2 linked regions of the Lepisosteus oculatus genome follow. The protein of the gene in region 1 purifies or fractionates together with the protein of each later gene. This does not show direct contact. Links are inferred from orthologs where the notes say so. Each region holds a gene or a part of one and is shown on either strand. Other genes may lie near its edges. The genes, in order: osbpl8 and Golgi apparatus protein 1.

Evidence for each region.
Region 2: the proteins of osbpl8 (region 1) and Golgi apparatus protein 1 purify together in Homo sapiens (co-immunoprecipitation; 3 studies listed by BioGRID and IntAct, with this or other methods). This does not show direct contact. The link is inferred for Lepisosteus oculatus from reciprocal best matches to the Homo sapiens genes OSBPL8 and GLG1.

The regions. Positions count from the first base shown.
Region 1 is NC_090702.1:21,121,157-21,125,077, forward strand, and holds the start of osbpl8 (oxysterol-binding protein-related protein 8), read left to right. Parts: upstream 1-1,155; 5' UTR 1,156-1,574; intron 1,575-3,921. UniProt on the Homo sapiens protein: Lipid transporter involved in lipid countertransport between the endoplasmic reticulum and the plasma membrane: specifically exchanges phosphatidylserine with phosphatidylinositol 4-phosphate (PI4P), delivering phosphatidylserine to the plasma membrane in exchange for PI4P, which is degraded by the SAC1/SACM1L phosphatase in the endoplasmic reticulum.
Region 2 is NC_090715.1:16,326,430-16,330,350, reverse strand, and holds the start of Golgi apparatus protein 1, read left to right. Parts: upstream 1-1,704; 5' UTR 1,705-1,918; coding exon 1,919-2,239; exon of another isoform or gene 2,240-2,839; intron 2,840-2,925; exon of another isoform or gene 2,926-3,008; intron 3,009-3,921. UniProt on the Homo sapiens protein: Binds fibroblast growth factor and E-selectin (cell-adhesion lectin on endothelial cells mediating the binding of neutrophils).

The sequences.
Region 1 (3,921 bases):
GTATTACGGACCTGCCTGGTGTGTTCCTTGGTCTTCATGATGCTCTCTGCGCTTTCAACAGAACCTTGAGACTATCACAGAGCAGGTGCATTTATACAGAGACTTGATTACACACAGGTGGATTCTATTTATCACCATCAGTCATTTAGGACAACATTGGATCATTCAGAGATCCTCGCTGAACTTCTGGAGTGAGTTTGCTGCACTGAAAGTAAAGGGGCCGAATAATTTTGCACGCCCCACTTTTCATTTTTTTATTAGTTAAAAAAGTTTCAAAAATCCAATAGATTTCGTTCCACTTCACAATTGTGTCCCACTTGTTGGTGATTCTTCACATAAAATAAAAAAATTATATCTTTATGTTTGAAGCCTGAAATGTGGCAAAAGGTTGAAAAGTTCAAGGGGGCCGAATACTTTCGCAAGGCACTGTAGATGCCTTCAGTTGGAGATCCTTGATTGACTAAGGCATAAAAAGATTCAGGTAATTAGAGCTTAAATAGAACAGGATATAAAGAATGCTGTTTCTCTCCAAGATTTTTTAAATTGTTTGACTAGTGCAATCTATTCACTATCTTTGATGTTGCACTGATGTTGGCCAAAAACTGCAAATTGGACAAGTGTGAAGGTGACCTTTTAAGTGATGAAAGCACACAAAGGATATATATATATATTATATTGTTCATCTTCATAACAACAATAATATATATATATAGTGGTATAAAGAGGAAAATTATCATCAGTACATGTTGCTTGTTCTTTCACCAATTGATGTGATACTACAGTGGAGAATCAGACTACTGTCAGATAAGTGGAATCAGGGTTTGGCCTAGATCAAGCTCTCAGTTTAAATAAATAAGGGACACATTTTTCAAAACCTTATCAGAACTCAACTTAATGGTCTTCTCTCAATATTCTATCATTCAGATTCTGAATGTCGAAGAATCAGTTTTCCTTGGAATACATTTTGAAAATGTAAATGTAATTTTTGGCTACCAGGGGGCGCAAGACACTAACTGATCAACTCAGACCTCCTACATTACGGAAAATTAAAATTTCAGTTCTGTAATGAAAGAGTGATATTTCTTTGTGGGTTTCTTAATGCTTTCGCTGTTTAAAAATGGTGGGGAATAGCATTCATTTTATTACGTTTTATCCTGATATACTGGAAATAAAGGATATAAACATCTCCAGACTAAAGGAATTGAGCGCTGATCTTCAGCAGGCCAAGTCAGAATGTCTAATCGATCTTCGATTCACGGAGCTCTAGTTGGCAGGAAGGAAGAGGCTACAATTGCGGACCTGAAGTCGTCCAAGAATAGGACAGTTTCACGTTGACAGATAAAAAATAGCCGCAACAAATGGGAAGATACCTATAGTTAAATTGTCAGAGTTTTGCCTGTGACCACCTATACGTCCTTGCTTAACAGGTTTATTCATCGCGTACTAATGAAGTTACTGCCATGACCATTTGACTAATTTCTCTTCAAGAAACAAATTCTAGCATCGGACAGTTGCATAAGGCCGTTAATAAACGTCGCATAAGGATCCTTTCAAGATTTTGTAGCATATGCAAGGTAAGGTCATTTTTAATTTCGTTAATACTGTGAGTGTGGCCACAGTGTGGATTACGAAGTGTGCTGTCAGGTAACAAGTTATAAGAATCTCATTTAACTTCTCTGCGCGTGTTTGCACTTAATAAATGCAAATACTGTACAAGTGTTTTTATGAGCTTATTTAAAAAAAAACTTAAAACGCTTGGATGTTTCCCATCTGTATAAATATACCACAAAGGCAAAGCCTTTTTTGGGGGGAGGCATTACAAGTCATTCTGAACTAGAGACAGCTGATATTTTTAATCGGTTTTCAAAGCGAGACAAATTTCAATGGAGGTGCTCGATTACTTTTATCATGGTAAATAAAGAATTGACTGGACTAAATGTTCAGCACCCCAAGCAGGTTTTACATATGCAGTTACAAACTAGTCACGTACCTTCTTGGTTTTAGAAGTGTGTTTTCTCGCGTTTAAAAAAAGGTAAAAGGGAGGTAAAAAAATTAAATGTCCCGAGTTTCAACTTGTATTGCGTGCAACCGACTGGTACACTATGTTGCTTGTAGTAGAATATATCACTATAGTAGTTGTACCTGTTTTATTTTAGAGATCACGAAAAAGTATATAATAAAGATTGAATCATTAGTTGTAGAATGAACTGCATGTTGTTACTTGAGTGAAATCCCTATCAAAAAGGGATGGCGTAAAGACACCCAGCAGATCCAAGAGCATTTCAGGGGTGCTGGCTGACCGCATTTTTCTTAAAAGAATTAACCATGCCATTCGGATGGTGGTTTTGTCCACAAAACAGCGACCCTAATCTGGTTGTGCGTAATCAATTCGTCTTATGGAACTTGAAAACTTCATTTTTTATTGCGACGAATCTTTGTAATTAAAGAGTAAATATCGTAACCTCAATGTACTTGTTTTACACGGGTTTTAGGGATACACCGATGTGGGCCTATAATAACGATAACCGTATGCTCCACGACAAGATGACTTATTGAATAGTTGGTTATCTCTTACGTAGTCGTATGCAGAGCATGAACTGGGAGGTGAATGTCTTGTTTCGATTTGATCGGGCACTCTTCCATATTATATTGTCGATCTTTGTCAAAATGTAATGTTACATTTTTCAAAACAGAAGAGACTGTGCCCTTACTTTCTGGATTTCTGCAATATGCTTCTACGTTCTCCATTTTTAAGCATGTGATGCAAACATCCTCTATATACAGGGACTACGCGAGTCATGTTTACCTGATACTGATTCTAATTTGAGGGTAGTGTTTTTATTTACGTAACATGAAAATATTTTGCTGGTATGCACGTAACCAGAAGATATCTCTTGACAGAATGTTTTGAATATCTGAAAAGTGTGTCCAAACAAAATGTTATGTACCGCGAAAGCACAACGACAAGCATTAATTGCTAAGTAAATATCACGTTTCAACTTTCTCTTTAAAGACAAGAACTCTGTAACAAGACACTCATTCACTTAACAGTTTCGGAAGTGTAGTGTCTGCTTTAGTTACTTACTATTCAACCTACAGGACGTTGTTATTTAAGTTAAAGCACATTTCGTTCTTTTACAAGATTTCTTTTATTACATTTTCTCCTGAGTGTTTTTGCAAATACATGTAAGAGGAAGCCCAAGCTATTACTTGTATTATAGATATTACACCATTATATGTCCAGCCATCTCATGTGTTTATTAAAAAATACTTATTTTGTGGAATTCACGTTTTTTGGTCACTTTGACTACTGCTTGAAAGAGTACACGTTTACTCTTGAATAGATTTCTCCTTTATTTCGTATTCTATAACACTACTATATAATTTACTACTATGCACATAGCATAATACAATATGACACTGCATATTCTGTCGTTTCTACTAACACTTCGAAAGAGATCAGTGAATAAAGTGTTAGAACAGTGAGAACATTTAAGAAGTACAAATCTGTATGTTTTTATCCTGCATCATGTGCTTTGACCTATTTTGAGATCTGCAAAATAATGACATCGTGTCTTTCAGATCACCTACGAACCCATTCAACTTGGTAATTATGCTTAAAAATAGAGTGGATGGTTTGCGGCTTGCAGGAATTAACTGTTGATTCAATCACCTTTTTGATTAAAAACGGTTTTGATGGAAAAAAAACATCCTTATTCTTTCAGGCTAATACAAATTATCCAGCTGATAGTTGACAGAGTGTGACTTGTAGCTCAAATTAACCTTTGAACAAATTGTACCTAATTAGTGCTTTCCCTAAACAATTCCTGTCCAGAAATGATGTATGTATTCTGACCCCCTGCTCTACAATATTTTTATTTTGTTTTTAAAAACAGTTCTCTAAGAACATTACATGTGACG
Region 2 (3,921 bases), on another chromosome or scaffold:
CTTGCTGGACAGACCCCCATCATTCAAGTCAGCAGGCCCAATCAAACTCCCGAATTTAAACCTAGATGTGCAGCAAATCACATTATCTAATGCAAATGTTGGCTATTGGCAAAAAAACAACTGCCAAAAACAGATGTTAAAGCTTCTCAAAGCTACTCTGTTAGTAAAATAAAACCTGACAACACCAGGAGAGTGTTGGTTTCTGCACTACCAGTGTTTAATGTGAAAGATTCTCTGATTGCATCAGGGAACAGTCTCTCAGGACCCCAAGGATGATTAATTGATTGATAATTAATTTCAAAGCAGTATTGTACCACTGGTAGAGCCACAAATATAAGTACGAGCTGCCCAACTCCCTCTACTTTGTGACTTCCTGTGGGCCTGTTTTTGTATTGTCTTTTTATTTTCATGAGAATATTCAAACCATCGCAAATGGCTGCAGCCCAAGAAGGAAATTTAACAATGCTCGTTGAGTTGTTTGTTTAAGGCAACAATAACAATCCGAAGGTCCTAGTCACCGTACTAGAGGAAGGTCTTGTCTGATAGGTCACACGTAGTCAACCAAATTGGTCGAACAGGCTCACTTACTGCACATAAACGAAGAAAGGGTATCTTGTAGGTGTCTGCTAATTGTCCAAGACATGCTGGTACGGAAGACTGGCCCTGGTGTGTGTGTGCGTGTCTGTGAAGGACCGGTGTCCTGTCCGGCCTGCTCCATGCCTGGGGCCTGTTACCTGCAGGGACAGGCTCCAGCTCCGCTGCCACTCTGCTGGAAGACATGGTTAGGAAATGGCTAACTGGGTAACTGCTGTCTTGTCCTGTATGTCAGAGGCTACTCGACTGTGAATGCAGGAGTAAGACAGCATGTGTAGATTTCCAGTGTGTTGAGGGAAGGGTGTGCATTTCTCAGTGCGAGCTGCAGTAATAAGGTACTGCACCTTTCTACCCACCTGCTGCAGAGGGCCCGGTAATCTAATAGACCTACTCCTGCCTGGATCTCTTCCACGCCTGATGGATTTTTATGTGGTGAAACAGACCCGCGCAATGTCCAGCAATTGACTTTGGTCCATATACCCATCACCACACAGGAAACAAACCCGCTCTCTCGATGTCTAGTTAGAACCACAATGATCGAAATTAAACAGCCGTAGTTCGCCTGTTTGAAAAGTTCAGCGTAGCAGAAAAGGACCGTTAATTTTTTTTTGTGAGCATTTAATAATCAAAATCTTTACCGCATTTCACAGTTTGTTCAAAGGGTTCTTTTTTTTATGGTGGATGTGTCTGAATAGCCCATGCAATCGTGCGAAGGAAATTGAAAACAAACTTAAAAAAATAGTTTTATTTTTAAAACAATTATTGCCGATGGCACTGGCTATTCAGACACGTTCATTATATAAAAAAAGAGAACCCTTTGAACAAATTGTAAAATAGAATTCACTAGGGCTTCGAAATAAGGCAAACTTCTCATATTTCCCCAACTATCAATGCACTAGAGACACGTTTATCTCTGCTACAGCATCAGAACTTATCTCAAAGCTAATACAACGGGCTCCAAACCAGATCAATATCTGATTCTCGGGGTCGTCTAAGTTTATGGGTTTACTGTCACCGGTTAACTGTAACGTCAGTGAGCTGACGTTGTGTGTGTTGTGTTTTTTTTATTATTTTAAGGAGAGAAAAAAAAATTACGGCTACTACTACTAGGCCCGTCCCTCGTAGAATAACAACTAATTTAATGTTTTTGACAGCCCAGACCGCTGGCAGCCCCATTAGCCGTCGGTTTGGGGCTCCCGCGGTGCCGGCCCGTCCGTGCGGGGGTCGGGGAGGAGGGAGCGGGGTGGGCCGGCCCACAGCGCGCACGCCGACGCTTTAAACAGGAGTGGCGTACCGCCGTCCTGCTGTAGCCATTTCCCCGAAGATGGCGGCGTGTAGACGTGTTCAGCTGCTCCTACTGCTGATGCCCGCCTTGCTGGCTCTGTCCGCCTCCCGGGACGCCCGGCAGGGGGGCAATCCGATGGTCGTCCCCGGCGGCGGCGTCCCCCTGGGCGGCCAGAACCCCGGCGGGCCGCCGAACCCGGGCGGTGTGGGCCTCGGAGCCCCGGCCGCGCAGCCCCGCCGGGCGACCGGCTGGAAGCTGGCCGAGGAGGAGGCCTGCCGGGAGGACCTGACCCGGCTCTGCCCCAAGCACACCTGGAGCAACAACCTGGCCGTGCTGGAGTGCCTGCAGGACCGCAAGGAGGTGAGGCGGCGGCGGCGGAGGCGGGGGGATCTGCGGGCCGGTAGGCAGGGTGTTGCCTGCAGGGAGATGGGGGGGACTGGGTGGCTGGTGTGGATGCGACAGGGACGGCTCTGGAGCAGCGGGGCGCCGTCCCTCACAGACGGACACGCACACCACCCCCGCCGGGGACTGCAGGACCCGCCGTGCGGTACGAGGCCCCCGCTGGAGAGAGACACCACAGCCCTGCGTGTTAAGGGGGCTGCTGCATGCGTGTCTTTGTCACGGTGGTGTGGTCAGTGTGGGGGAGACCCGTGGGTTTGTCACCGTGGGAGACGGGTCCTTGCACGACCAGTGACCAATATCAACTGATACTCACGAGTTGCACCGGCAGCAAGGTGCCGTGTTCATAATGAACGAGCAGCTCAATGGCCAGCAGTTCAAGACGCCCAGTTTGTGAGTCTTTTAAATGGCATTGCTGAGCTTCTCTCTCTCAGCACTGAGGCGTGCTGTTACAGGGAGGCTGAATTTCAGAGATTGCTCGTCCACGATAGTATACGTGTCTTCCCTGGACGAAGGTTTGCAGGATTGTACAGCGCCTGTTAGAGGAGTTGTTGCATTTCCCTGCCAGAGAGGAACATAAACTGAGCCGGGTCTGAGTCTCTTGCCTCCTTTTGTGTATTTGTGTGATTGTAACCGCCGTGAGGTACCTGGGTTTTCTGCAGTGCTGTAACCTAGCTGGGGTGGTGAAGTTGGAGACGGTGTTTCGTCACGCTGTTGAACGGGGCTACTCCTGGAAGAAAGTAAAAAAAAATAACTTCAATAAGAAGTTCAGACTAAAGGGAGGAGGGGCATCAAACGTCTAAGTTATCTATGCACTTGAAATCCTTTTTGAGAGGGAAAGGAGTATGCAAAGACTGACATTAAAGCCTTTTTCACTTTTACTCATGAAACTTGCTTGGCGTTTTCCTCGCAAGAAAGCGCTTCAGCGGTGTTTCTAGGGCACGGCGTTGAGCTTCTGTGTTGGGGGCACTGACCGCAGCGATGCATAGGTTGCGTGCCACATTTCGCGAGTGGGGCATGACGTGTCATTTAGTTGTCGTCCCACGGCGCCGCCGCGGGTGGGGTTTTTTTTTTTTTACTGTCCACGGCCCAAGCGTGTTCACTTTGCGAAAAGCCTCGAGTTTAAGGGAGGGGGGGAACCGTGAAACGGTGAAAAGCAAGCAACGGGCTTGAACAGGATTTCGGGTTTTTTTCCCCCAACATCTGGCAACTCGAATGGCATTCAACGGCAAACTTCTGCAGTAAATTACCTTACTGACGCAGCTTGCAACGACCGTAAACTCAGGGTGAGGTGTGCAGTTGACAAAGCACGACACGGCCAGCCGCCTCGGCTCATAGGGACCCTGCCTCCCTCAAGTCGTCGTTGTGAACCGCAGGGAGAGGAAATCCTGTTTCGTCTCTCCTCCGGGTTACCAAGGTAATGGCTGGTGACTAGCGCCTCGGAGACAGCGCGCCAGCCAGCACAGGGCCCGAAAATGCCATTTATATCTATATATATATAAAAACACAGTTTGGCAATAGACCAAGGCAGCGGTCCCAAGAAATATTTTGCCCCCGCTATTTTTTTTTCCCTGCGAGACGTGTACGAGGCGTCACGCGTTCAGGGCAGTAAAAAAAAAAACCCACAAAAAGTCGCCTTGAAA